Oryctolagus cuniculus: one gene and its partners. The protein of the gene in region 1 purifies or fractionates together with the protein of each later gene. This does not show direct contact. Links are inferred from orthologs where the notes say so. Each region holds a gene or a part of one and is shown in the gene's direction. Other genes may lie near its edges.

Region 1 (7,316 bases):
TTCTTGTAGCTACTAAACAAGTTTGGCTATGGGAAATGATTATTGTACAGCCTCTATGATAGTCATAATCTGTCAGAATGGACATATCTCTCTGTAGTCTGGGATTAGTTTTGCGGTTCCCAAATACTGCCCCAAGGGTTCTTTTTTTTAAAAGTTTGCTTTGATCTCCAAGCCCAGTGGAATAGAGCAATTAAATTCCATTAGCCGGCGCCGTGGCTCAATAGGCTAATCCTCCACCTTGCGGCGCCGGCACACCGGGTTCTAGTCCCGGTTGGGGCGCTGGATTCTGTCCCGGTTGCCCCTCTTCCAGGCCAGCTCTCTGCTATGGCCAGGGAGTGCAGTGGAGGATGGCCCAGGTGCTTGGGCCCTGCACCCCATGGGAGACCAGGAAAAGCACCTGGCTCCTGGCTCCTGCCAGGATCAGCGCGGTGCGCCGGCTGCAGCGGCGGCCATTGGAGGGTGAACCAACGGCAAAGGAAGACCTTTCTCTCTGTCTCTCTCACTGTCCACTCTGCCTGTCAAAAAAAAAAAAATTCCATTTAAATGAAAATACATAATAGAGGGAAAGAGTAGCAGAGAACAAGGTGTTGAGTAGGATCAGAGGCAGGGTGACTTGTTGCACAGAGTCTACAGATCATTAATTTTTAGGCAGATTTGCAAATAAGGATAGCACACGCTCTGTAAATAGCAGCTGTTGCCATCAGCCAAAGGGCAATATTTACACGAATCCTGTGGCAAGGTCTATTGACTAAGCATCACCCTTTGCAGCCAAATTCATATACTTGATAGCACTTTCAGCCATGTCATCTTGAAAAGGAAGGAACACATTATACATACATGGACAGCTGCCAACGTACAAATATGTTCTGTTCCTCCAATCAATTCCTAACTTTTTTTTTTTTTTTGGAACTTGGAACTCATGGTCCTACAGAAAAGGTCTTAGAAAGGGATGTGGATTTTACAGATCTCACAAATGTGCACTTCGCTCACAATGTAAGTGAAATACTGCACACTGGTAATGAGTACTAGAGTGGCACAAAGTACCTACGCAAGCAGCAGCCCAATACACACCAATTAGTTCTTCAGCTTTTGTCCTTTGAAGCCCCAGGCAATGACAGGGAAACTCTAGCTTCCTTAGCTGTAGTTCTGGGAAAAAGACGTCCTCCATTACCGCTGCCTGTCCCTGTCTTGGGTCCTTGCCTGACAAGGGTCCTAGTCAAGCCAGTGGCATGCTACTTTCTATTGCAGCATCCTTGTCTTTCCACCTAAGAACCCTTTATCACTGAGCAGATAGCACAGATGCTGGGGAAAGGGTAGGGTGTCTAACTGAAGTCTCAGGTTCCTCTTTGGAGACACTTCAAATTCCGAATTCTGTAGTCCATTCGTGAATACATCTATACACTTTAATTTAAAAAAATCATATTTCAAATGATCCATTAGGTAACTTAATTCTGTCCCATTTTTTGACTGAAGTCGACGCTTCAAAAACACAAGCCACTTTTATACTAAGACACTCTGTCTCTTGGCTAGTACACATGTATACTTCAGGATAAGAAACATGGGCACTGGGTGGGAAAATCTAAAGTAAATGAGAACATAATGAACATCAAATCAGAACAAAGCTAGCACCACCAGCTTCTCCTTTCCTCTCTCATTAGCACACCCCTTCAGTTACTAGTTTCGTGTTCTCTGCCTCTTTTTCTCTATTCCAAGCCAGTTCTTGGACAGGATCTCAGACTAAGGTGGAAATGACCAATACTAGCTAAAAAAAAAAAAAAAGTCACAAGGTTTTTGCATGTATAGGATTTCAGGCTTTAAAACAAAAATAAATTTAGGGTATAATCTCTAAGAAAAAGGAGCAACTGTTGCTGCCCTGCTATTTGAAGAAATCACACCTCATTTCAGCTTGGTAATTTAAAAAAGCATGCTGAGGAAAATTAATCATGACTTCTTTTCACTTTGGAAAGTATTGGCTTCATTTTTGGAAACTGCAGGCTTTGTGGTGGTTGTTTGGCTTACTGTTTTGTCTTGTCCCTAATGATGGAAAATTAAAGGCTAGCACGTAAACCTAACCTGATCAAAATAAATGGCGAGGAGAAATAAAAGTTATAATACTGGTATTCAAAAATTACATTTGCATATTGTTGCACGCTTTACAAGTATTTTTACATGCACGCTTATGCTCGCTATTGGTGCTCAACTACTATCAAATAATAACGGGGATGCGAACATAACAAGAACCAACAAATCACAGTAATTCAGTTATTAACATTAGGTACCTACCATGTGTTGCCCCAGGTTCTGTGGAGGACCTTGACCTTGTCCCCCAGGAGTTTTAAAATTCAGTGGTGAAGGCAAAATAAGGTCTTTTGCCCACTGGCCTTCTGAGAGGTACGAGTTGAAATGCGTTGAAATACGTAAAACCCACGAGTGAGGTTTTGCCTTGTTAGTGAATGTTTGCAATCAAGATATTCAAAGAGCGCGTCTCTGGCAGAATTTAGGAAGGTGGGAAGAGCACCAGCAATCCAACTCCTTTAGAGACCTGGGAAAGGGCAGTCCCCGGAGGGGTTCCGGGCTTTGCAAACGGGGGAGAAAGCCTTCGGCTTACAGTTATATGCCCAGAAAAAGTTCTTTGTGCAAGAGGGGAGGGCGCCCCGAGGTACAAAGAGCAGATATATGGGAAAGTGGATTCCGTTTGCACACATTTGTGAGGGGAGCTCAAGCTCACTATTGGGGGCCTGTGGCAAAGGAGATTTTTAGAGGGTCGCGGGCTGCGGGTTCCCGCCTCCACCTAGTCCGCGCCTCTAGCTTAGGCAACAGTTGGTTGTGCGGGGCCGGCCCCGGGCTCTGGATGGGGAGGGGGAGTCTCGCGATCGTTGGGGGGGGGGGGTGGGGGAAAGGGGGGAGGGTGACGGGGGGAGGCCATGACGTAGAGTGGGTGGACGGAAGTGGGGCAGGGTTGAGGGTTATTTAAAGAAGGGGGGCCGCGCGAAAGGGTTGGAAGCGGAGTGATTCCCCACCCCTGCTCCATCTAGCTCTTTCCAGTGCAGCCGCCGCCGCCACCGCCGCCGCCGCCGCCCAGGAGCCCTCATCCCCTTCCTCGTCCCCCTCCTCGTTCCCGCTCCAACGCCATGGAGCCGGACACCGCCGCAGTGGCAGCCACCGTGGCAGCGGTTGATGCGAACGCCACAGTCGTGATTGTGGAGGACGAGCAGCCGGGGCCGTCCACCTTTGAGGAGGGAGCGGCCGCCGCGGCCACCGAAGCCACCGCCAGCACAGAGAAGGGCGAGAAGAAGAAGGAGGTAAATAGGAAGGGGGTGTGTGTGTGTGTTTGTGTGGCGGACAAATCCTGTACAAGGTCCCTCTGAGGGGCCCCAAGCCCTGACCTTTGGGCGCCGACAGGTACCGACGGAGCTCGCCAGGGATGGGGGCGGCGGGCTCGTAGGGGGCGGCGGAACCGTCTCGCGTTCGCTCCCCTCCCCCTTTCCTTCTCGCCGCCGGGAGGGCGGGGGCGGGGCTGGCGCGCGGGCGGCCGCGGCGCGGGGTGCCCGTTATCCCAGGGCTTGGGGGGGCTTGGAGCCCCTCGACAACCCCCGATCCCCTCCACCTTCCTGGAACTGGGGTAACGGCTTGGGGGATGGGGCCGTGCGGGAAAAAGCCTCCGCCTCCCCGTCTCCCTTCGCTCGCTCCCTTGCTCGCTCCCTCGCTTACTCGCTCCCTCTCCCCCCCGCTTCCCGTCGGCCTCTGCCTGGGAAATCTGGGCCCTTCAATCCCACACTCGCGCTAACGGGGTTTGGCTGGGGCTTATTTCTGTAATTTGAATTTCAAGGTGTTAGAGGTGGAGGGGTGGAGGATGATAGGGAAGACATTTATTCCTTTGATTGGCAGTGTCGGGCTTTCGGTTGACAGAAAAAAAATCATCCCTTGTTCGTTTGTTCCCCCTCTACTGAGGCGGGGGTGTCACCCCGAGAGAACGAGCTCTCCGCGTGGTACCCCCCCCCCCATCCAAACGCCAAATTGAGGAACCGCGGACGCTGGCTTAGGAAAATTTCCAACGTCTGCGCCCTCACCCTCGTCTGCCCCGCCCCCGATGGTATAGTGTTTCACTCCAGGGCCACCCAGATGGTCCCCCAATCCGGCCCCAAGCCTTCCAAGCTTCCGCCTCCTTGCCCTAGTAGGCGCTGCTCGCTCCTCGCTCTTGGACACATGCAGGTTTTTGTGTGTGTGTGTGTGTGTGTGTGTGATTTCTTAAATTTTTTTTTTAAAACCCAGCGTCGCGAAGATGAGCCGCTACTAACATACGTAAAGGGAGCGATCTCACATATATTAAAGCCAAATCCAGAAAATATGTATTAGTTCTAGAAGGCATACTTCATATGGATTGAACATACAAATAAAACTATGAAATGCTTCAAAAATTGCTATAAAAATAGAATGGGGCATAAGGAGTTTTGATGGTTAATCAAATAGGAGAAACGATCGTTTATGGGTAGATTTTTTTCCCACTTATGAGTAGACATATCGCAATTAAAAACGGTGGGTGATTAAAATTATGCTTTACAGATCTCAAGTGGCTTTGTCTGAATCATTATATGATCCTATACGGCCAAATGAAAAGCTTTTGACGGAAATTAACACCTTTTGCCTTGAGTTAGAAAGTAATTTTAAATCCAGCACTTGCTTAAGTGATATATTTTACAGTTTCAAGGTTAATTAAGCAGAAAGACAATTGTAGTGCTGAGTGAAAGCCATAGAAAACATATGCATTTTAAAATTTATGCAGTACTTGGATCAGCACAGCAATATTCATGATGAAAGCTGGGCTGGTACCAACCATAATATAAGTCAAATGTTGGAAAATTCAGACTTGTGTCTAGGTGCCTTTTATTCGATAGACTGGGCAAGTGTAAGTGCTAACCTATTATTTTTTTTTAGTATGGTTGTATAGGTTGTTGAATTTCCAGATTGTATAATTTTTTTGAATTGCAAAAAACCGGGAGGAAGGGTCAATAGTGAAACCTGTGTAAGCGCTGAGTTGTTGCCTATGTATTCAACTACTGTGTAGCCTCAGCAGAAATCACCCTCATGGTACTTCATTTGTCTGCTTAGGCTAGGGGAATGAAGTACCACTTGGCAGGAATTTCCTGGTTATACGAAGTTTACTACTTTAAGTTTTCCTTAAAAATCTAAATATGTTACATATTTGACTTTTAAAAAAATTTATTTCTTTGAGAGGCAGAGTTAGAAAGAGAGAGAGAGGTCTTCCATCTGCTGGTTCACTCCCCTAATTGGCTGCAATGGCCAGAGCTGGGCCAATCCAAAGCCAGGAGCCAGGAGCCAGGAGCTTCTTCCGGGTCTCCCACGTGGGTGCAGGGCCCTAAGGACTTGGGCCATTTTCTGCTTTCCCAGGCCACAGCAGAGAGCTGGATTGGAAATGGAGCAGGCGGAACTCGAACCAGTGCCCATGTGGGATGCCAGCACCACAGGCAGTGGCTTTACCCACTATGCCACAGCGCCAGCCCATACCTTGACTTTAAGTAATGTACAAAAAAAAAATTAACCTTTCATGAGCATCAGTTTTTGTACTCTGATGGTGATACAAAGCCTATTGAGATCCAGCGGGTTGTTTCCCTTCAGTTAAATAATAACTTTCCAGTTCTTCCAGTATTTTGTTGATTTTTAAAATATGTTTGTCTTGTCCCTCAGTTGCCAAGCTGTTAGCTATCATATTTTTTTAAAAAATGATTTGCTGATTTATTTAAGAGTTTCAGAGAGGGAGGGATCAACCTTTCATCTGCTGGTTCACTCCCCAAATGGTCACAACAGCCAGAGCTGGGCCAGACTGAAGCCAGGAGCCAGGAGCTTCTTCCAGGTCTCCCACATGGGTGCAGGGACTCAAGGACTTGGGCCATCCTCTGCTGCTTTCCTAGGCCATTAGCAGGGAGCTGGATCAGAAGTGGAGCAGCCAGGACTTGAACTGGTGCCCATATGGGATGCTGACATTCCAGGTGTTGGCTTTACCCTCTAGGCCACATCACTTTTTATGCATTATCTTACTTTCATCAGAAAAAAATTTGTTAGTTTATGACAAAGGATATATGTGTGACAAAACCATAAAACCATTGTAAAGTGCAGAAATGGTGCCGCAGCAGGGAGAGGGAAAGGATTACTCCTGAACACCAAGGATAAGGTGTGCTCCTGCAGTGACGTGCACATCTTAGTAGTGGGCGTCTGCTCTTCCTTCTTGCTGGCCTCAGTGGGCTTGCCTTCCTCTAGTAGTGTTTCCCATGTCATTTGTTGTTGCCTTGACTCTCTGTAGTATGGGAAGCCAGATTACAAAACTTGCTAGAATCGTATGTCCACTAAAAGAAAACAGGCTTTTGGGTGAGAACATTTTCTCTTTTTTCATTTTTAAAAATTAATTTATTTGAAAGGCAGAGTTATAGAGAGGGTATTGATGTTCCATCTGCTGGTTCACTCCCCAAATCACCACCGTTTAGGGGCTGAGCCAGGCCAGAGCCAGGAATCTGGAATACCATCTGGGTCTCCCATGTGAGTGGCAGGGACACAAGGAGGTGAGCCATGTTTTGCTGCTTTCCCAGGCATATTAGCAGTATGCTGGATTAGAAGTGAAACAGCTGGGACTTGAACCCAGAACTTGAACCTGGAACTCATGGGATGCCAATGTCACAAGTGGCAGCTTAACCCACTGCTCCATAATGGTGGCCCCACGAGAGCATTTTTGTGAATGAGGTATATGAGATTTAGTGAATTGACTTGCACTTACTTGGTTTAAGTGACAACTAGATAACTTAACATTGTAGAAAATGGAGATTTTAGTTTTGGTAATGAAAATGTCAAGATAAAGGTCATGGTTTTTAAGATGAGATGTTGATGATCTTGTGTTGCATTCTTATGGCATCTAGGCTACTGAATGCTAACATCTGTAAGGAATCATTAAGATGTCTTAGTTATCTTTTTTCTTGTATGAGAAATGTATTTTTGAAAACATAAATGCATATATGTGTGTCAATGGGTATATATGTGTGTATATGTGTGTATATGTGTGTGTGTGTGTATAAATGTGAAGATTTAGAAGACAGGTATTTTAAAATTTGTTGTGGAAGATAGTGCCAATTAAATTACACATAGTTTTTAATAGCACTGCTCAAGAGTAGGAATTTTAATTAGCATATAATTAAATTTTTATGATATCCTACTGCAAGGTAAGGAAAAAAGTAATGCATAAAACGTTTTTCTAAATAAACTAATTTTCTGTAAGTGAAGTTTACTTCCCACAGTATTAAATATATACC
Region 2 (7,345 bases), on another chromosome or scaffold:
CTCCTGGCTAAGGTGCACCCTGGGAGGCAGCAGGCAATGGCTCAAGTAGTCGGGTTCCTGGCACTGACCTTGACTGACTTTCAGGTCCTTGACTTCCGCCAGTGGATAGGAATGCCCTCTCTTTGTCTCTCAAATGTTGGGGGGGGGGGAAGCTAAAATTAAAGATTCAGGGTATCAATTCCAAAGGGTCCGAGACATGAGACCATCTCATGAGACATGAGGTTCTAGCTGGAGCTGAAACCCAGGGCCCTCAGATACAGAGGTACAGCCAGACCCAGTATACTTTAAACCTCAGCTCCTGGGGCTAGGAAAGTCCCAGGCGCTAGGCAAAGAGCAGGGTGGTGAGGAGTGAGCCTGCCAGGGAGGAATCAGGCGAAAACTATGGAGCCTGTTTCAGAGTCAGAGAATGATGTAGGGAGATAGGTGTGAAGTACTGACCAGACGAACACCACGAGACTGCCAGGCAAATCCTGCCGAGGGCTCGAGACCGGGAGACAAACTTCTGGCCACCACCAGGGGGCACCTGCAGGTCCAGGACAGCTTTGTTGATCTCCAGGACCTGGGGAGGAAGGATAAGGACAATGGCGCAGGCTTCCCACGGGGAGTGGTGGGTGTGGGTGGCTGCAGTTAACTAGAGTGACCAGGCTTCTCGCCTTCTGCCTCCCGGTATTGTTAACCTCCGAGGCACTGTGACGACTAGCCTGGCTAGCAGCGCCAGCCCAGAGGCCAGGTAAGCCCGCGCGAGGCTGGTCGGAGGAGACACATGGACAACCAGAAAAAACCAGGAGCGGGGAAGAACAGTCAGAAACACGTGAAGAACAGCAGTCACAGTTGAGGAGAAGATCGAGTGACGGAAGTCCGGGAAGCATCTAAATCGGGATGAATGCCACAGCGGCCAGACGCCCTTCCCACATCTCTCCAGAGTAGCTGTGCTTCACCAACATCCAAAAACGCAGCCTCTACTCCCTGGGAGGATTTAGATGTCCCTTCATTTTTTTTTTTTTAAACAAAGATTAAAACACACGGTAGAATTTGAGGATGCATTTTAAAACATCAAGGAGTTCCAAGTAATGAAAGAACAAACTTTTAAGCGGTTTCTCTGCCTAGAGAGGGAGAGAGATGTTAGGAAACGATGTGAGATCCTTGAATACGCGAACACACTGGTACATTTTCTTTGAGAATTTTTAAATATGTAAATATCTGAGATGATGAAAATGATCAGAATAAAGAGGGGGGGTGGGGGTAGAGGGGAACACGCAGACCACCCCGAAGTCGGGCTCGGCAGCCGCGGGGCTCCTCACGCGCTGGCCACTGTCCACACAGCTCACAGGTAGCAGATGTCTGAGGCAGTCACGGCGTTGTGCCTGTCGCTCAGCGAGCGCGCCTGTGGGGGCAGCCCAGCTGAGGCCCTCCGAGACTAGGGAGCGCCAAAGACCCAAGCAAGTATCTGGGCACTCAAGGTAGTTTTTCTAAACTTCCAGCCGGCGGTTGAGGTGATTTTTTTTTTCCTTCGGGTAAATTCCAACGTCCTGAAGCAGTTAGCATTTCTAAAGCACACACCTGGGCCGGCTGCAGCCGGAGCCCTGCCCTTCAGCCCGACTAGCAGGTCTGCACCCCCCCGCAGACCCCAAACCCTAGCTCTTACTCCCATCCTCTTCCCCGCCCCCAACCCACGTCCTAATACATTGTGCGCGCTCTTCCAGGCCGCGGTCAGTCGCAGGGCTCCAAGCGCGACTTCTTCTGGGAGGTCACACGTGTCCATTCCCTGGGGGCTGGGGGGGGGGGGTTGTCCTCTGCTCGCTTGGCTGCTGATTGGTGCCTCCCCCTACCCCACCCTTCCCGCCGCACTCCAGCCTCCATCCTACTCGGTTCCAGCCTAACCAGCCCCACCACCCTCTTCGTTGGAGCAAAGAGCCACTTTCGAGCGTCTTCAAGCACCGTTCTCGCGTGGAATAAAAGCGCTAAGGCACAGGTGGAAGCCACTTCCATCTCTCTAGACCTCGTATTTCTAGCGTAGACACCCAGTCCCTCTCCTGCGCTCCCTTCAACACCATAATAACTCAACTCCCACACGTGCACGTTTTCTGGATCTAGCCCCTGTCGAAAGCACCACCCAGCGGGCCCTTTAAAAAGGACGCGACCACTAAGGCCAGGTGGGGGGGGCAGAAGAGACCCTTATTGTCCTCCCTCGCAAGTCATTAAACTCCGCCGTGCCCAACACCTGAGAAGCGAAGTGCGGTTCTCAGCAGTTTTGGGGGGACGCACCCTGCTCCCCTCAAGGCACACCACTCCTCTCCCTCGGGGGCCCGATTCCCCGCCCCTCCCCCTCCGGCTCCAATGCAGCTGTCCCGGCTGGGGGTGGGGAGCGGGGGCGGGGGTTGTTGTTGTGGTGAGCGGCAGCCCCGCCCCCTCCTCGTGGGCGGCCCCTCCCCCCCGGCCCTCTGTTCGGCCCCGGCCCCCGCCCCCAGCCCCATCTGTTTTCCCCGGCCGAGAGTCGATTATATTGTATGGGACGGGGGGCGGCCGCAGCCGCAGCCGCAGGATGGGGCGAGCGCGCGGACCGGGTCGGCTGCCGGAGCCGCAGCCGCCTCAGTAACTCGGGCCCCCGCCCCGCCGCCCCGCCGCCCCCGCCCGCCCTCGGCCCATGCTCACGCCGAGCAGCGGCCGCCGCGGGAGTAGCAGCCGCCGCCGCCGCCGCGCCGCGCCGCCGCCGCCCCCGCCAGAGGAGCTGAGGCGCTGAGGCGCTGAGGCGCTGCGCCGCGGCGGGAGTCCGAGGCGAGCGAGCTGCGCGCCGGCAGCGTGGGGGCCGCCGAGGCGCGCGTCGAGCTCGGGGTCGCCGCCACCGCCGCCGCGGCCGGGAGATGTGCCCAGAGGAGGGCGGCGCGGCCGGGCTGGGCGAGCTCCGCTCCTGGTGGGAAGTCCCGGCCATCGCGCACTTCTGCTCGCTCTTTCGCACCGCGTTCCGCCTGCCGGACTTCGAGATCGAGGTGAGCGGCGGCCGCGCGGGGCGGGCGAGCGAGGCGGCGCACGCCGCTCCCCTTTCTCCCTGTGTCCTCTCGGGGCGCCCGGGGCAGGAGGGTGCTGGGGCCGGAGCGACTTTGGCCGGGAGTCCGAAGCCGGGAGGAGGACGCGGAGGTGCGGGCGCGCGGGGTGGAAGGGCAGGCGGCGGGCGGGGCCGCTCGGGCTCTGCGCCGGGCGCTGGGCGCCGGGCTCGGGACGTTCGTTCGGGCGGCCACACTGCCGAGCCGCGGCTCCTGGCAGGGGCGAGGCGGGCGGCCAGCGCGAGGGAGGCGGCCGAGGGAGCGCTTTTGTAGGAGCGGGACCGGGCGGTTCTCCCGGGACTTCTCGGAAGGCGGCTGGTGGGGAGCGAGCGCGCGCTCCCTTGCCGGGGCCATTGAAGCGCCGAGCCAGCTGCCCCGGGCGGGGACGCGGTGCGGCGGCCGCACGGGGGGCGCCGGCGCTGGGTTTAGGTCGGACCCGGGGCTGGGCGGCGGCCGGGGCCGGTGGGGGAGGGAGAGGGCTCGGCCGGCTCGGCCGGGCGCGTGGAGGGGCAACCGCACTCGAGCGACTCTCGGGGCCGCTCGGGCGAACTTCGGAGCGGCGGAGGTGGGGGCCCGATCTCGGGGGGCGCTCCCCGCGGGGGCGTCTGCAGGGCGCCGAGTCCTCGCCGGCGGCTGCGGAGGGAAACTTTGGGACTCCCGTTATTCTCCGGCAGCCCCCTTTCCCCCTCGCGCCGCTCAGCCCTCTTTATTCCGGCAGCTCGGGAACTCTTTGAGTTGGCCTCGCCACCATTATGCCCCCGGGCGAGCGTGGAGGGAAGGGATGGCTTTTCGGCCGGGCCGAAGGTGCTTTCACACTGGGGCTTTGTGATAAGGAACTAAAACTGGAGGGTCCGGGTGGCAGGGATGGTGGCGGGAGTGTGCGGACCGGAAGGCACACGACGGCCACGGCGAGCAGCCAGCTCCGGCAGCATCCTCCTTCCTTTTATTTATTATTTATTATTTTTATTTTTTTGGGAAGGGGGGGCGAAATGGTTGATGGGTTGGTTGGCAGGTTGTGTGTGGTGACTTACCACCTTTTGCCTTTGGACAAAGGTAAATGGGAACTGTGTGCCGGTTTTTGTTTCCAGTTCTGCCAGAGGGTTCGTCCGTGGAGTAATCAAAATTAGGGTCACTCTTTTGGAGGAGCCCATCCATGTTTTTTTGCCTCCCCACCCCCACTTATCTTACTTTCTGCCATTTTCCGGTTGGTTTTCGTTCGTTTGCTCGGAAATTCTCTGCCTCACTTTTATATTGTTAGATTCGGTCGTGTTGTCTTGAAATATCATTTGCTTCTCACAGAAATGAAGTGTGGGAACTTGCCCTTAGAGCGTTAATGAAATCGGTAAAATAAAAAAGATCAAAGGGGTTGGGATGAAGGAGTGAAGAGGAATGTGGACTGATAAAGTAGGGCCACTGGCAGGCTTTGGCGAATGCCAGTTGCTTGAGCTGATTAAAACAAGGCGATTAAATCATAGGCTTCTCCAGTTTTTAGGAAGATGGAATAACTTAGGCAGTGCACCCTACACCACAGCGTTTGCTTTCAAAGTTTGAACGTGATTTTAACAGGCGGAGTGTTTGTAATAAACATTTTCACGAGACAGCAGGTTATAGTGACTAAAGAAGAGAAGCAGACCATGGAAATGAAAAGATTTGGGAATCCTGAAAGTTAAGATGCTTAACAACGACTTTGATGCCCTGCGTTTTCTTTTAGTTGGTGTAAAATCGTGAGTAGCGTGAATATATCCTGCTGCTCAAAATGGTGGCTGCTGTGGGAGGTGTTATTTGTGACAGTGCCATCTTGGGTGCTGGTCAACCTTCCCCCTAGACGTTTTTCTAAGTTGCAGGCTAGTAAAGTTGAGGTGATGGCTGGGATTACAAGTTTAAAATACTGTGGAAAAAAGTCGTCCTTTGAAATCCATATATTCCCATTTTCTTGATGGAAAAGTAGAGGCAACTCATTTTTCCCCCCTTAAGTACGTACGGCATATCTAGCGTATCCTATAAGAAAACAAATCAAAACAAACTTGTCTCCCTTCTCAGAAGTAAAACTGTAGTTTCTAAGTGTTAGGTGGTTTGATTCCTAAAGGAAATGTAAGCTGATTAGAGGTCAGGTTTATCTGAATAACAGAAATGAAAACTCATTGGTGAAGAATTAGGGCTGTTTGAAGTGATTTTCTTTATTTTGATTCTTCGCTTAAAATACTTGCTACTAGAAATGTATGTGAATATTTGGGTTCTATCATGTTCATATTTTAGGAACCCCTCAATTTATTTGGACTTGATCAGTAAATAGATAACAAATAGTACTAAGCCCCCCCCTTCACCCCATAGATCTTGTATAACTTTTCATGTTGGATGTGTTTTGATATGACTAGTGTAAGTTTTCACTTCAGATTGTTGGTATTATCAAAAATTGAAAATTTTAAAATTAACTTTTTCTAGACTTTTAAGAAGTTTTGACTCATTGACAGTTGAGAATTTACTGAAAAAACTTAAAATTTTGATTTTTCTAAATATAAACTTCTTTTTTCTAGGTGACTTTAAAGATTTAACTGTTTTAGAAATAGTTTCTTGGTTAAACTTTATGATGCAGTGAAAGTCCCTTACCAAAAGAAAAAACAGCTCTAATGCTGAGTTGTACCTGATAGACCATGTGCAGAGGCAGGCAGGCTGTACAATCTTAATTTGCTATAACTTTAAGAGCTACAAATTATGAATAGTACCAGATAGAAGTTGGGTATCTGTTATTTTCTGGACAACTAGTTTTTAACAGTGGGAAAAATCTCATTTTACCCTTGACCAGCAGGGTGAACCCATGGATCTATAGAAAATTAGGAAGTAGGATCCTCAAGGACTTGGCAATCTCTCAGATAGGTGAAGGGGCCTGGAGGATTCACGCTGCAGATCTGCAAGAGGTCAAGACATGCCATTCAGAGAACTGGACCCCAGAGCAAGGATATTTTTATTTTTACATGCAAAAAAGTGTTTTTGCTTGGCAAAACAGTCAGTATGCTTGATTTGTTGGCTTTAGGAAATGTGTAAGGATTTGTATGTTGCTGTCTTCCAGTAAGGGCCCCCCACAAATATGAAGGGTCTGTAATCATCATGCGTATATGGTTATAATGCTTGAAGTTACTCAATTTCTGGTTTTAAAATGAATACATACACATTATGTCAAAGAAGATTACAGGAAAATATATATAAGAATTAAAGTCACCCATAAGCACCACTTCAGGGTAAAAGTTGTTAACATTGTATCCTGCCACTCAGGGATAAAAGCTGTTAATATATTTCAAAATTACCAGATATGCTCACAATGTATTTGTGCCATAGGTTATTTTTCAGATGAGGAGATTGAAGTATAGCTAAACAATATTCACTACTCAGTACTTAGCATCATTAAGCACCTATTGTGTGCTTATCAAATTCACAGTTGGCTTCCTTTACCTCAGAAGATTATCTGTTAATATTTCAGAACCAGCAGTTATACTCTACTTCATTTAAGTCAAGTATTTTATAATTGTTTAATGTTTTAGTTGGTTAGGTTGGCTTAATTTTGGCCAGCTTTGAGGAAACAAAGAATGGTTAATTAACCTCCCCCTAAGATTTACTACTGGGTTTTTCCCTAGCCAGGTTAGGGAAGAATGCTTTTCAGCAATCTGGTTGGGTGTTAATTATGATGGATATAGGACTAGCGAGGGCCTCTAGGTAGCTATTTGGAAATGATCATGTGAAAGTATTTGAATGGTTTGTTTAATAGCAGAATGATCAAAATAATCTATCATTTCCACCATTCCTGCTTCCCACTGCTTGCTCTTTTGCTTTCCTTGTGTCTCTTTCCTGTTGTGGTAAGTCTCTTACCTGATCACATGATCGTCAGGGGGCAGTGCTCAGATTCTGGAATTCTGCTGTTGGTACTTCCTTGGATCCAGTCTCTTACTCAGGAGCATCAAGGCATGTATTTAGTTAAAAATCAAAAGAGGTAGTCCACATCATTGTGAGAAATTTATATGTACATCCATCATATTAGCAAATCTTGAACCTGATGGCCTGGAATTGGCTGTAGAAGATTTTGTGATGTATTGTGTGTACTTCTTAGCACTTTATTTTTGGCTTTCATCGATTTTTTTTTTTTTTTTTTGGAAGAGATCAGCTGCTAGATGAAGAAGTTGGTCCTGATGAGGGAATTCACCATTCAAGGTGCACTGGAGTAGGAGTTAGTTAGCAAACTTGTATTTAAAATGCCACTGACTTTATGACCTTGGACAGGGAAAAGTAACAAAATGATAAATGACTTTTGTATA
Region 3 (7,396 bases), on another chromosome or scaffold:
AGAAGTGAGTCGCACTCTCGCGGCTCTCTGTCGTGAGAAGAGTCGATAGAGGTTTGGGAGAGAGACTAGACCTAGAAGTGTCCCGTGCGGATACTCGTCAAACCATCCTCACCACGAAGGAAGCTTTAATAAGCAGGCAGACAAGAAGAGCTGCCTGTGCACGTAGGGCGAGCTCCTTCCCAAGCCAGTGCCTGCCTCTGGAGGTCTTGAACAAAACGGCCCTGCACTGGGACCGAGGTCATCACCAGCTCATCGTGGGCCTCCCTTCTGCAAGACAGACCAGAGCGTTGCCACTAGGGAAGGCCCATTAACAAGGAATCCCTGTAAGAGGCTCTATCCCGTCTATGACCCAGGGCGTCAAGACCGTCGGGCAGAGGCTCATGCAGAATCCGGGTCTGCTTTTTCCACCAGTCATGCTTCTGCTGCCATCATCACCCTACAGGAGTTGACCAAATACCTCCTGCCTCCACCTGGTATCTTACACATCTTTGGACCGGACATCTGCCCAACGAACTGACTTCACACTGAAAGGACTGAGTGTCCTAGGGGCTCTGCTAGCCTCGTTGTGCACCCCCACAACCGGAAGCGGCTGGTTTTATGGAACAGTGGGATGGCTTCTAGAATGTTGGGCTTCTAAGCCAGATGGAAGGCAACAGCTTGAGCACTTAAGATTCCATTTACGCTTGGAACCAGCAATTCTGGATGGGTCCGTATCCTCCTCGTGAGTTCCATTTCTATTTACCTGGACCAGTCAATTTTCCTGTTGCTTGCAACTAAAGACCCTAAGTAATGCACTGTGCCTTCTATTCTAATAGTTGGGGTGGTGATAAATTGGCTTCCTCCACTATTAGTCTGTAAACTTGGAAGGCTGCTCTCATTTCTAATATCCTCGCATTCCTTGTTGCACATAGAACTGTCTTTCACACAATGTAGGATACATGCTGCAAACTTGCAGACTCGGCTCTATCTGAACGGCATGTATTTTGATCCATCTGAAGTTGTTTTTTTTTTTTTTTTTACTTAGTTGCCAACATTTTAAAAAAGATTTATTTATTTGAAAGGCAGAGTTACAGAGAGAAGGAGACACAGGGAAAGGGGGGAAGAGAGAGAGAGAGAGAGAGAGAGAGAGAGAAAGCTGGGGCGGGGGAGGGGAGAGAAAGAAAGATAGCAAGAGATCTTACATTCCATGGTTCACTCCCCAGGTGGCTCTAATGGCCCAGGCTGGGCCAGGTCAAAGCCAGGAGCTTCATCCAGGTCTCCCATGGGAGTGACGGGGGCCCATGTCTGGGCCATGTTCTGCTGCTTTCCCAGGCACATTAGCAGGGAGCTGGAGCGGAAGTGAAGCAGCTGGGATTGGAACCAGCACCGGAGGTATCTTAACCTGCTACAACGTTGCCCCCCCCCAACATTTAAAAGCCATGAGATTTCACAGGAAATCCACATTTCCACACGCTCTTGAAAACATCTGAGGAGCTGGTCATGTTAGGCCTGCATTTCAGTAACCATCCCTTTCAAACAAAACATGGCCACTTTTACTTTTTTTTTTTTTTTTTAATATTTATTTTAAAGAGTTAGAGAGAGAGGGAGAAAGAGATCTTCCACCCACTGGTTCACTCCTCAAATGGCTACAACAGCCAGGGCTCCCTCCCATCAGGGACTCCCAGTGGGTGGCAGGACCACCTGCCCATTCCATTTTCTTTCATTACTTACCTGGGCCCAGTGGGTATGTAAATTTGTCACCTTGGGTGCTCAACTGAATCGTACTGAATGCGTTAATTTGGCAATTAGTGCTTCTATATTAATTTTCATTTCGCATGTGTTTCTTCCTCCTAATTGGGTCGAAACAAGCCATTTGGTGGGCAGAATCCTGCTAACTATTATTTCTCGAAATTACTTCTCGGTCGTCACATACTTGAGTAAGTAGCATTACGTGTGTATAACCTCCAGACCAGGCCTTGCCCCGCCGGGATCGAGCGCCCCCGATTTGGGCTGCCTGGGATATCATCACCACGGTCGCTTGCCTGGGCTAAACTGAGACCAGGTGAACTCGTCAGGTAAAGCTATTAAAATCCTCTCGCAATAATAGAAACATACAAGGCGCCGAGGTCGACCGCAGGTGGGCTGCCGCCTTTTCCAAGTTCCGGCCGCGGGGGTCCGGCTCGCAGCGGGACACGGGGGCAGGTGCCCGCGAGACCCCCGGAGGCCTTCCGGGTGTGGACGCCCCGCCAGGGCCCGGCAGCCCGGGGCGTGGCTCGCGACGGGTCCCCCGGGTCCACTTCAGGACTCTCGGGAGTTGCAGGTTTCTGGGGGGCTCGTTCCCGCCGGCGCCGCGCCCTCAGTGGTGACACTCGGGCACTTTCAGCATCACTTTCCCCACGCGGGCGGGAAGGGGGCGGTATGTCGGGGCTCCCCTGCCCTCCTCTCCGCCACCGGGGAAGGGAGGCGCCGGCGGAGGCCCTGCCGAGGCCGGGCGTCGCGCGGGGGGCTCCCGTCCCCCGGGGCCTTCGGCGGGGGGTACTGGGGAGGGGGCTGCATGCCCCTCTCTCCTGAGCGCCGCCGGCGCCCGCGGTCCCGGAGCGCCGGGCCCGGCTCCCCGCCCCCGACTCGGCGCTCCCGCGCTCCCTCTAGCGGCCGCCGCGCGGCCTCGCTCCGTCCCAGGCTCGTCGGCGGCGCAGCTCACGTGACCGCGCTCCGGGCCTGCGGCCGCTGTCGGTTCCCCCAGTCACCGAGCGAGAGGGAAGAAACAAGATGGCGGCTGAAGGCGATCCGGAGTGGGGCCCCAGCAATTCGGACTGAGCCTTCTCCCTCCACCCGCTTCCGCCGGCCGGGCCCCTCCCGCCCGGCCCCGCCGGCCTCCCCACCCGGCCCCGGCGCCCCCCACCGCCCCCACCCCGCGCCCGCCCCTCCCCCCTCCGCTTTCCCTTCTCCCCCCCGCGCCTCGGCTCCGACATGAGGGGCCGGCGGGGCAGGCCGCCCAAGCAGCCCGCGGCTCCCGCTGCGGAGCGCTGCGCCCCGGCCCCGCCGCCGCCGCCGCCGCCGCCGCCCACGTCCGGACCCATCGGGGGGCTCCGCTCGCGGCACCGCGGCAGCAGCCGGGGCAGGTGGGCCGCCGCCCAGGCTGAGGTGGCGCCCAAGACGCGGCTGAGCTCGCCCCGGGGGGGCAGCAGTAGCCGGAGGAAGCCGCCGCCGCCGCCGGCCCCCCCCAGCACCAGCGCCCCGGGCCGGGGGGGGCGAGGAGGCGGGGGCGGCAGGACGGGGGGCGGGGGCGGCGGCGGCCACCTGGCCCGGACCACCCCGGCCCGGAGGGCGGTCAACAAAGTGGTGTACGATGACCACGAGAGCGAGGAGGAGGAGGAGGAGGAGGACATGGTCTCTGAGGAAGAGGAGGAGGAGGAGGAGGACGGCGACGCCGAGGAGACCCAGGATTCGGAGGACGACGAGGAAGATGAGATGGAGGAGGACGACGATGACTCCGATTATCCGGAGGAGATGGAAGACGACGACGACGACGCCAGTTACTGCACGGAGAGCAGCTTCAGGAGCCATAGCACCTACAGCAGCACTCCAGGTACCCACCCAGCCCGGTGGCTGCAGGCTGCTTCCCCGCCGCCTCCCCCTCCCCCTGCTCACTCCCTCTCGAGTGCCGGGCATCCTGCTCCGGCCTCCCCCCACCCGCCTCCCCCCCCCTCGGACGGAGGGGAAATGCGACGGCACAGCAAGTGGCAAAAAAACTAGATTTACAAGAGGAAAGAGGCGCATTGTTCAAAATGGAGATTGCATTGTTGCAGTTTGCAGGCCACACGCTCGCTCGCCCTCTTTCTCTCCCCCCCAGCCCCCTCTTTTTCCTCTTCAGAATTTGTGCCAGTGCAGTGGCTCCACCGGGCAGGATCGAAACTTTGGCACTCGCCTATCCATTGCATTCATTTTTCTCCCCTTGTTTTGGTGTGGTTTTTTTTTTTTTTTTTTTTTGGAATGAAAGAAGCCTCTTGTTTTGCAAAAACCTCTTTGCATTTCTAATGTGGGCTCTTTGAGATTTTTATTATGTATCCCTTCCTTAAAAGGGAATTAAGGATTGGGACAGATTGTGGCACACAAACACGCACAAAACACGCTTCTCTTCGCACGCCTAGCTGGGCGGCTTACAAAATCGCGTGAAAGAGATGGGTCGGTGGACTGAGTCGGGAAGCCTTATCTGGTCCCGTGTTTGTTTTTATGCTTGGAGGGCTAATGGGCCGGTGCAACAGTTGCTAGTCAATTGCTGATTAAAAAGCAGTGCAGAAAAGCGCAGGAAAGCAGCCTTGGAAATGCACCCGATCTCCCAGAGCACCTTGGTGAGTCCACAGCAGAAGTGCAGAGGGGCAGGCAGGGCCGCCGCCGCCAGCCTGGTCCCTGGGCTGCGCTCGGGCTGAGCCGCCTCGCGTCACCTGTTGCGGAGGCCGTGGAGGTAGCTGATCGGGCAGTCGGCCTTGCCGGAGATGAACTTTTGGGATCGCTTCTCAGTTCCGCGGCAGAACGAGCAGATCTGTTACTCATTTTGTCCTTTTCCGTTTTGTTTCTGAAGAAAAAAGCCCTCCCTGGCGCTGGAGTGAAGGCTGCTCCGAGTGTTTTCAGAAAGTTCCTCTAGGAGATGCATTTGGTTAAGCACACTCGCAGCTGCTGCTTTGTGTGAAATCCGTGGTTGTGGCTCACTAAATTGTGAGGGGAAAAAAGAAGTAACTTGTAGCAGCAATCTGCATGACCTTTATATATTGTTAACCTCCATGAACTAAATTACAATTTGGTGTTAAGAACGTTTACAAAGTAAAGTTTATGAGGAAATGAGTTATTTTTAGAGAGACTAGGGTAGTAGAAGCAGTTAGAAGGAAATGTTTTTTTTTTTAAATAAATGCTTACATATGGGGGAAGTGTGGGTACTAACAGGTGGACGCGCACTTAGATTGCCCTGACATTAAATGAAGAAAGGTAGTTCATTTCTTTGGGCTGACAGGACAGCTGCCTGTCTTGCTCCCAAGAACCGAGCGTCCGGCACGCTTGTCTCCTGTGCAGAAGGAGCTAGATGCAAGTTTTGTCATCTCCTGTGGCAGTAGTTGTCACTGAGCAGTCGCAGGTTCATCCCCTGTGTGGAATCATGGAGACTGACTGACTGCCACCACTGCAGGAAGTTTCCCGGTTAGAGCTAAGGCTGGCAGGCAGGCGGCTCCGCTAACTTTCACTCCCATCTGAGGGCCCAGCAAATCATGCTAGGGGGGTTGATGGCTGTGCTGAGTTGAAGTACAGTTTGTGGTGAGGCTTCCTGTTTTTTTTTTTTTTTTTTTTTTTTTTAGTACTTGAATATTTGTGATACTTCCTTGACATTTTGTTTTTCTTAGCGACGCTGGTAGCCTAATTTGTGTATGCTTGTCCCATCCATATATAAAATTAACTCCTTAGTGGTAGGTATTGATGTTATACTCCCTGAGCTCTAAACCAGTGTTTGGCATGTAGCAGGTGCTCATCAAAGATTGATTGGATACGCAATTATTTGCTAGGTGAGAACTTGCAGTAGATGAAGTTTTGGTCATTCTGTAATTGGCAGGCGTAACTCCTAGACATTTTGGACTTGGGGAACTAAAAGTTGGTCTGATGAGATTCTGATGCTCGCTTTGAGTAGTTCATGTCCAGTCATGGAGTTACTGTTCCCAGTGCTGTTTCGCCTTGCTTCCCAGGTATTTTCCTTCCTTTACCCGATGTGGTATTAACTGGGATGTGTTGCCTTTGGGTACACATTACTTCTCAGGATTATGGTAAAAATAGATGCTCCATTGTGGGACCTAAACTTTGAGAATATGTCCGCTTGCCTAGTGAGTGGCACTGCTTGCTGACAGTGAGTTGTCAGGTGCTGGTTTCAGTAGTTTTGTTGTCTGGACTTCCCAGGAGGGAGGCTGTCAGGTCAATGTGTATATGCATTGGAAAAAAAGAAAACTTTTAGGACTGGTTTAAGACATCCCATGTACACATGAGAAAATGTGGTTGGTGTATTTGAATCCTGTTGTACTGTTAAGGCTAAATGAGGCATATACTTTATTGGTAATTTAGAATATTTGATTAATTTTTAGTTTAGAATGTTGGCTTAGCTGCTAACATTAAATCCCTGATGTAGGCAATAATCTCTTCATCTGTTGAGTACTACGTAGGTAATTCCAGAGGTCTTCAAAAAGTTCATGGAAAATATCTCTAATGAAACCATTTTGGCTTTCAAGATTGTTTTGTGCCTAAATAATTTGTCTTTTAATTCCATTTTCCATGGAGTTTTTGAAGTATCCTTATACAACTGTTGATATAGTCATAGATTTAAAAATGTTTATTCATTGGAGAATATTTTTTTCTTATAGAGAAAAATTTTAAAATAGGGATAACAACTTATTACTAATGCCAAATTGAAATCATTAGGTTTGCTAATGCTGGAGGCATTTGGCTGAATAGAGCTTTGATTTATCTGAATTTTTTAAATGGAGAATTCTTCCAGCTTACAGGTTTTATGACAGACTTTTGTCAGTGCACTGCAAAGGATTTGTATTGGAAATCTGGTCCGAATACACAGCTGAGAGAGTTCTGACCACTCTTTGAAGTTAAGCATTTGCTTATTTTAAGAAATTAAGTTATGCTTGAACAGAGTGGTTCTTGCATTTAATTTGTGTGACTTCTGAGAATACTTACCTGGAATTTTGAAATTTGGAACCTCTGATGATTTCAGAAAGCAAAACTTCTGGTGGTATCCTGGGAGAGTGAGTGATTATGTCCTCTAAGGAAGATGACTGTTGGAGTCTGGCCATGAATGGATCTGTAGATCACCCGATTAAGCATTTGTTAAGGGTTTGGCAAGTCTCATTTCCACCAGTGTCAAACACCTTTTCAGAATGAGTGCGATTCCTGATTGCTACAGGTTAGGTACAAAGTGCTGGGGGAGACTGCAAGGCAAGGCAAGGCAAGATCAGACCCTGTTGAGATGTGTGTGGGCGTGAGCCTGTGTGCTTCCTGCAGGGGCCTTGGATTGTGGGGCCGGTAGAGGGAGGGCGGCAGAGGGAGAAGTGTGGGCAGTTGCAAGTAATGAGTTTTGCTGGAGCCTGAGGATGTGAGTAGGAAACAAACTAAAGCTCTGTTGTATGCTGCGTTGGGCAGTACCTGGAGAACCAGGCTGGAGTCATTGTACTTTTCCTCCCTCATTGGTCCAATAAGCATTAGGCCTCAGGCATTTTGTACTCCCCAGCACCCAAGGGGTATGCTGGATTCCCACAAGCACCTCGCATAAGCATGAACCAAACCAAGTCACAGAAATGCCGTTGAGCCACAGTTATTTCCTTTTCCTGCTATTTGAGAGAATTACCAGGAAGGTGGCCTGAAGCCCTCTTTCTCCCAA
Region 4 (7,128 bases), on another chromosome or scaffold:
AGAGATTCTTCAAAGTTTTTATGAAAAATGAGAACTATGAAAAAACTACACATGGGTTTGAAAATATTTTGCTCCAAAATAAACCTATCTTTTAATTCCACATTTCTGCAGACTTACCCCCATGCTGATTCCCATGCAGGCAAAATCCCAGCAATGCATGGGTTTGAACACTCAAATAGCAAATCAGTAGACTTGTAGTTGCTTCGGAGGTCATTACTTTTTCATTTACTGGCTGTAAGCATAAGGTCTTAGGCAAGTGACTTCATCTTAGCCTGTTTCCTCACGTAACGTGTGTGGTTGGGGCAGGCGGCTGGCTGTGTGTGTGTGTGTGTGTGTGTGTGCGTGTGAACCCCTAAGCAGAACTGTGGAATCGTTAAATAAGATAATACACTTGAATTGCTGGTATTATGGGTGCTCAGAATCTTCTTCCCTCTGCAGACGTTTCAGGCAATCACTACCACTCCATCCCTAATGCTTTTTAAGGACAGTGTCCACTTCTTCTTTCTTTTATCCAACATGTTTATTGACTACCAAAGATATGAGAGGGCTCGTTTGGGGCACGGAGAACACTGATAAGCAAACCATGTTCTGAACACCTTGTCAGATCAAAGACAGCGAACTATTGGCCTTGGATTGTACCCAACCTGACCTGCTTAGTTTGGCAGGCACTTTGAGCCTACCAAAAATCGAAATAGTCCCTAATATCCAGATTTCTGGCTCCTCTTACAGATCAAAACATCTGACAACACTGGGCCCAATTCCAACTACACAGCAATTGGCTGAAGCGTTCCAGCTCCTGGCATCTCTACGCCCAGTCTGCCCTAGCCAAGTACAGTAGGACCCCCACGAGGTCCTGGTCTCTAGCTCAAGTTTGGTTGCCTTTTACCATGGCATGTGCTCTGCTGTTTTTCTAATAGGGAAGTATCTCGCTCTAATCATGTATCCATCAAAAGCAAGAAAAATTTGAGACAGCATGTTTCAAGGGGAAAAAAACAACTGGATTAGTTCTCAGTGGCAGTAAGAATTTCCACATACCTAATGTGAAAGGAATACAACTTGAAGTGCCACTGCAGGAGCCGCAGTGTCGTGGGGAAAGCCGCCACCTGCAGTGCCAGCATCCCATATGGGTACCGGTTCCAGTGCCGGCTGCTCCACTTCTGATCCCGCTCCCTGCTAATGTACCTGGGACAGCAGCTGAGGATGGCTCAAATGCTCGGGCCCCTGCACCCACGTAGGGGCTCCTGGCTTCATCCTGGCCCAGCTGGGCACAGCCATTTGAGGAGTGAATCAGCAGATGGGAGATCTCCTTCGCTTTCTCTTTTATATATATATATATATATGCACATATATATATATCAAATATCTAAATCTTAAGTAGTTGGGTCCTGGCCATCCACGTGGGAGACCTGGATTGAGTTCTAGGCTCCTGGCTTCCACCTGGCTCACCACCCATTGGCCAGCATCTGGGGACTGAACCTGATGTAAGATTCCTCTCTCTCTTCCCAAATAAAAAAGATTTGTTAATTACAGAAGAGGAAGAGGAAGAAGAAGAAACCCTTGGGTATGATTTTGCCTGGGAAAGGTGTACGACACACAATGTAATGAACTAAAACTAAACGCAATTTTAACAAGGCTGTTTTAAATGGGACGATGCAGTATTTTAAAAGCGGCTGCTCCCGCCCTTTCCTGCCCAGCCCGAAATGAACCTCTAAGTCTGGTCAGGCGCATCCCGCTGTGAACAAGAGCTCAAGGGAAAAAAAAGGTAACTCCCCAAAAAAGCCTAGCTAACACCTATCCTTGGTAAGGATTAGCACAGCGCCGTGAGGGGCGGAAAGATGGATGGACATCGGCAAGCGCTGGGCTGAAGAAAGATTCCCCGCTGCGTTCTGGAACAGGAAAAACACTGTGGCTGTCGGGAGGGAGCGGTTCCGCCTCGCAGGGTCCCGGCTCCTCGGGACCACGGCAAAGATGAAACCCCGAGGGTTCCCGAAATCCAGGGGCCCAACGCAGCCCCGCCCGGCGAGGAGCTCGGCGGTAATGGCTCACCAGGCCCCGCCTCTCGTCCGGAGGGGCCCCACCCAGCCGCCTCGGCTCCACGCCTCCGTCTCCCACGCGAGGCGCGAGGCCGCTCCGTCGCCAAGCAACGGCGCAGAGCACGATGGGGCTCGGACGGAAGCCTCCGTGGGCCATACTTAGTTCGAGGCGAAAGCTCTGGACGTAGCGGGAGCGTGAAGCAGAGACACTCTTCTGAGGAAGAACGTGCGGCGTACGGTGGGCGCTGACCGAAAGATCCAGCGAGCCAAAACCGCTACGAGCGCAAAAAGTTCGGGTGCAAAGCGTCTTGAGGTGGAGAGGCGGGGCTGGCGTAGGAGGAAGGCTGGGGGCGCGGGGCACTGTGGGACACGGTGCGGCCTACGTGAGGCGGAACGGAAGCCTCGGAGGGTCAGACAGCAGCGGCGCGGGAAGTCCGGACGCTGGAGGTACCTGGGGAGGAGGCCCTAGGCTCAGACTCAGGCCTCGACCGCGGCCATGGCAGAGAGGCCCGAGGACTTAAACCTGCCCAACGCCGTAATCACCAGGATCATCAAGGAGGCGGTGAGCAGCTCGGGCTGGCGATGGGCCGGGGGCGGACGAGCGGGCAGAAGGGAAGCAGGTCCTGGGCCGGCGGCTTTGCTCACTCCCGCCGTCATCACAGCTCCCGGAAGGTGTCAACATCTCCAAGGAGGCCCGGAGCGCCATCTCACGCGCCGCCAGCGTCTTCGTGCTGTACGCCACATCGTGGTGAGCAGGACAGAGCGAGCCGGCGTCCGGCTGGGTCTAAGGCCTGGAGGGTGGGGGGGAGGCACCGGGAACCGCTGCTGGCAGTTGTGGTCTGGGACCCATGTAAACCCCCCTCCCGGGTCTTCCCGGGTCTGTTCGAACAGCAGACTTAGGTACGGGCAAGGGCAGGGTTTACGCAGGTTACGCAAACATCTGTACGGCCAAGATGTGCCTGGGTTCTCCCTTCCCACCCCTGGGTGCCCCTTTTCGCGTCCTAAAGAGGGAAGGGGGCAGCCGTTTAGAGCCCTTTTTGCTTTGTTTCAGTGCCAACAACTTCGCGATGAAAGGGAAACGCAAGACCCTGAATGCCAGCGACGTGCTGTCCGCCATGGAGGAGATGGAGTTCCAGAGGTTCGTCGCCCCGCTGAAGGAGGCCCTGGAAGGTAACGACCCCCGCGTGGCTTCTCTTCTTCTTCACTTTATTTGGAAGGCAGAGAGAGAGAGATCGTTAAACACAGCGAGATCTTCCGCCCTCCGGTTCACTCCCCAAATGCCCAGGTTAGCTATGGCCGGGCCGGGCCGGGCCGGACCCCTGCCCTTCCTCTGGGTCTTCCACGTGGGGAGCAGGGCCCCAAGTATTTGCGCCATCCAAGGTGTTCCGGCAGGAGGCTGGCTCTAAAGTGGCGGAGCCAGGACTCAAACCAGGCACTCCCGTACAGGTATGGGATGCGTGCGTTCCGAGCTGCGCCTTAATCCCTGCCCCCAGTGCCTGCCCGTACCCTTCTGTTTCCCAAACCACATGGAAGACGGGTGACCTGTTGATGTGGCCCTGGGACTGTGAAAGAGTGGCCCAGAAAGCCAGTACCGGATGTGACCGGACGTAGTTCAGTGGCACCACCCGAGACCTCTCGGTGCTGCTCGCCAGGTCCTTTTCTGCTCGTGTCCCTTGGTTTTTCCAGCTGTCCAGTGATGCTGCCGGCTGCGGTCCCCGCTTGTCTCCCCCAGCCCTGTCTCCTAACCCCGCCCCTCTTCCTGCAGCCTATAGGCGGGAGCAGAGGGGCAAGAAGGAAGCTTCGGAACAGAAGAAGAAAGACAAAGACAAAAAGGCGGATTCGGAAGAGCCGGACAAGAGCAGGGACGAGGACAACGATGAAGATGAGGAGAGGCTGGAGGAAGAAGAGCAGAATGAAGAGGAGGAGATTGACAACTGAGTGCTGCGGGAGTCTGGACCTCGGGAGGCAGGTGGGCGGCGGGAGGCAGGCGGGCGGTGGCCGTGGGCTCCGTGTTTGTGCGCTGCTTTGCCCCGGGCTGGAGTGCTGGAGCAGATGCAGGCCGCCAGCCGAACCGGCGCTCCCGACGCCGCGCAGCCGCCTGGCACAGCCCTGTGCCGCTTCCTTGAGCGGGCGGTCGTCACTGAACAGCTCGCTCCGTTAGTCAGTGTGATCTCTCGTGTTGGCTTACATGTATGGCTGGGTAGGTTTTGACCCCCAGTCCTCCTACCCCTGAAGAGAGTCGTAATTCCCCTGCTGCCTGCTGTGTTCCAAGTCTCAGAGGCCATGAGGCTCCAGAAAGCTGGGCTTCCTTGCACACGATGTGGCCGTGGAAACCCGTGAAGTGGTCAGGCGGTTGGCTTTAGGACACTGCTAAGAGAACTGGAGGATTAAAGAAATCTGTTCTGTTGTCTCTCCCCTTGGCAGGAACATCCGTGGGAGTGGATTCTGTTAGACCCGCTCACCCTGGAGCTCATCTGTGTGCCTTAGGCAGCCTGCCTGGGGCGGGCCGGGCCGGGCGCCGCGCTCTGAGCTCACGCGCTCCGGATTGAACAGTGGAGACCACAGGCAGGCAGGCAGGGACGCCGGGGTCTTACGGAGCAGGCGCCTCACTGCCTTCGCCATGTGCACTTGAGAACCTGCTGGAGGCCAAGCCCGCCTCCCGGGCTGGGGCCTGAGCGTCCTCCTTCAGTTCACGGAGAGTTCCAGACCGTCTCCCCTCTAGGCACAGCTCTCCCTCCGCTCCTGTGGCTCTTCTCATTTCCACTTTCTCTCTCAGTCCTGCCAGTCTGGGAACTTTGACAGTCTGCTTAGTATTCCAAAGTGCAAGTCCTTCTGCTTTCTTAGTTCTAATCTCTCGGCTTTTAAAAAGAATGTCATACAAACCCTTTAGGGCAGTCAGATGGCGCTCAGGAATGTAATGGCTGGCCCACCAGCCGTGCCCCCGAGCTGCTTCTAAAGCACCCCTGTTGGCCTCTCTGAGCCTTTCTCTCTTTTGGGTCAGTGCTACAAGCACTGTTCTGTTTGCAGGTTGAGCGCTTGGGTTTGACAGGTAGGGAAGTGTAGTCTGACACTGTCAACTTGTTAAATGAACACAGGGAGGCGTTCAATGAGTGATGGCTGTTGAGAAGATTGTAATGCTTTGTACGAATAAAGAACGTTCTTGTTAGAAGAGATGACGCCTGCGTGTTCCCCGTGTGCTTTTGGAGAGGAGCCACTGATCAAGTCCCCATACAGTGTCTGGGGTGTGATCCCCGGGCCAGATCTTGGAAACACGGGAGCCTGCATCACCGCTGGCGGCCAGCAGATGCCGCTCGCTCACAGGCAAGGGTGCTGCTGCTCAGCTGGCGCGAGCCTGATCATGGCTGGCACCTTAGAAAGCCAGCGACGCCACTTCCTGAGCTCCCACTGCGTCTGGCGCTGTTCCGAATGCCTGCCAAAACTACCTCTTAGACCCTGGGAAGCAGCCCTGCTGTCACCCTCATTACCTTTTAACCACACTGCTCCTAACCGCACTCTAACCTACGCAGTCTTTTCAAATCATAAAAAGTTCATGCATATCGGGGCTGGCATTGTAGCTTCGTGGGTAGAGCCACCACCTGCCTTGCCAGCATCCCATGTGGGCCCTGGTTTGAGACACAGCTGCTCCACTTCCGATCCAGCTCCCTGCTAATGGCCTAGGAAGGCAGCAGTAGATGGCACAGGTGCTTGGGCCCCTGCCACCAATGTGGGAGGCCTGGAAGAAGCTCCTGGCTCCTGGCTTTGGCTTGGCCCAGCCCTGGCTGTTGCAGCCATGTAGGGTGTGAGCCAGAGGTTGCAAGATCACTCTCTGTCCCTAACTCTTTCAAATAAATATTTTTTTGAAGAACTGTATGCAGGTTTTCACGGTCAGTTGATCCAATGGGTTTTTCCCTGTCCACAGCAGAAACATCCTTTCATAATTCCCATGAGCACCGCTGTAGGCTAAGCCAAGTCCCATCTGGACTCCTGTGGCTTCCTTTGAGCTGAGTTTCCTGCCTCATCTCTGCTTCCCCTCTGTACTAGCCAAGTGAACCTTCTGGAACATGGCTGCGTTACAGTCCTCCCCCCAACCCTGCTTCCTGTCAAACAAACCAGTTACACAAGCCCTGCGTAAGGACAGCTCGTTCCATCTATTCTGCTACTCCATCATAAGACTGCACCTGTCAGGAGTGAATCCCAAAAGAACTGCATTATAACTCCATCCATCCTGCCCCTCCTCACCAATCTTACACCAAAAAAAAAAATTTTTTTCCTTAGAAATATTTGGCTTAAAACTACAGGTTTTTGGTTTTTTGTTTTTAGATTGATTGATTTATGTGAGAGGCAGAGTTGCAGAGAGCCAGGTCTTGTATCTGCTGGTTCACTCCCCAGACCTCTCACTGACGGGTGAAAGGCTCTTTGGAGCGAGGGGACCTGCCCAAGATCGCACCAATGTACAAGAATGGGGATCCTGTTGGGGTCCCGGTGGCCTTCAGCTGTGCTTCTGTTTTATTTTAACAAACAAACTTTGGAACAGTCTTACAGAAAAGTTTCACAGAATTGCAGGAATCTCATACTCTTCACTCAACTTTCCCTGTGTTCACGTACTGCATAAACCATGGTGCCTTTGTCAAAACTAAGAAACGTGTAATATAGACGGAAAGCGGGAGCTGGGGGTGTGTCTTTCATCCTGTGATTCACTCCCCAAATGGCCACAATGGCAGGAGCTGGGCCAGTCTGAAGCCAGGAGCTTCTTCCGAGTCTCCCATGTGGTTGCAGGGCTCAGACACTTGGGCCATCTTCCCATCTTTCCCAGGCCACAAGCAGAGAGCTAGACTTGAGCAGTGCCCATATGGGATACCAGAACACAGGCGGAGGCTTAATCTATACTATAGCACTGGCCTTGCACCTGTTTTACTACTAACAAACTTTCTATAAAAATGTCCGAACAAAAATTGGAAGTGAGCTCACTTTTTAAGCCTAAGATGAAGAACAGGCACATGTAGCAACAAGTTATATAGCTGCTTGGGGCATATGGGGAGTGAACCAGCAGACAGAAAGATCTTTCTCTGCGTCACTCTGCCTTTTGAAATAAATA

Evidence for each region. Proteins that work in one complex are often made in the same cells at the same time.
Region 2: the proteins of SMARCA1 (region 1) and CECR2 purify together in Homo sapiens (affinity purification with mass spectrometry; 3 studies listed by BioGRID and IntAct, with this or other methods). This does not show direct contact. The link is inferred for Oryctolagus cuniculus from reciprocal best matches to the Homo sapiens genes SMARCA1 and CECR2.
Region 3: the proteins of SMARCA1 (region 1) and BPTF purify together in Homo sapiens (affinity purification with mass spectrometry; 4 studies listed by BioGRID and IntAct, with this or other methods). This does not show direct contact. The link is inferred for Oryctolagus cuniculus from reciprocal best matches to the Homo sapiens genes SMARCA1 and BPTF.
Region 4: the proteins of SMARCA1 (region 1) and POLE3 purify together in Homo sapiens (affinity purification with mass spectrometry; 3 studies listed by BioGRID and IntAct, with this or other methods). This does not show direct contact. The link is inferred for Oryctolagus cuniculus from reciprocal best matches to the Homo sapiens genes SMARCA1 and POLE3.

What each region holds. Positions count from the first base shown.
Region 1 is NC_091453.1:107,217,424-107,224,739, reverse strand, and holds the start of SMARCA1 (probable global transcription activator SNF2L1), read left to right. Parts: upstream 1-2,932; 5' UTR 2,933-3,131; coding exon 3,132-3,302; intron 3,303-3,505; exon of another isoform or gene 3,506-3,622; intron 3,623-7,316.
Region 2 is NC_091440.1:97,509,137-97,516,481, reverse strand, and holds the start of CECR2 (chromatin remodeling regulator CECR2), read left to right. Parts: upstream 1-2,671; 5' UTR 2,672-2,861; coding exon 2,862-2,987; exon of another isoform or gene 2,988-3,135; intron 3,136-3,625; exon of another isoform or gene 3,626-3,845; intron 3,846-7,345. UniProt on the Homo sapiens protein: Regulatory subunit of the ATP-dependent CERF-1 and CERF-5 ISWI chromatin remodeling complexes, which form ordered nucleosome arrays on chromatin and facilitate access to DNA during DNA-templated processes such as DNA replication, transcription, and repair.
Region 3 is NC_091448.1:13,812,299-13,819,694, forward strand, and holds the start of BPTF (nucleosome-remodeling factor subunit BPTF), read left to right. Parts: upstream 1-2,722; 5' UTR 2,723-2,949; coding exon 2,950-3,568; intron 3,569-7,396. UniProt on the Homo sapiens protein: Regulatory subunit of the ATP-dependent NURF-1 and NURF-5 ISWI chromatin remodeling complexes, which form ordered nucleosome arrays on chromatin and facilitate access to DNA during DNA-templated processes such as DNA replication, transcription, and repair.
Region 4 is NC_091432.1:216,996,699-217,003,826, reverse strand, and holds POLE3 (DNA polymerase epsilon subunit 3), read left to right. Parts: upstream 1-2,454; 5' UTR 2,455-2,529; coding exon 2,530-2,595; intron 2,596-2,695; coding exon 2,696-2,781; intron 2,782-3,084; coding exon 3,085-3,203; intron 3,204-3,798; coding exon 3,799-3,971; 3' UTR 3,972-4,002; exon of another isoform or gene 4,003-4,457; 3' UTR 4,458-5,206; downstream 5,207-7,128. Other genes in the region: C1H9orf43 (uncharacterized protein C9orf43 homolog), read right to left, coding at 1,036-1,118. UniProt on the Homo sapiens protein: Accessory component of the DNA polymerase epsilon complex. Participates in DNA repair and in chromosomal DNA replication.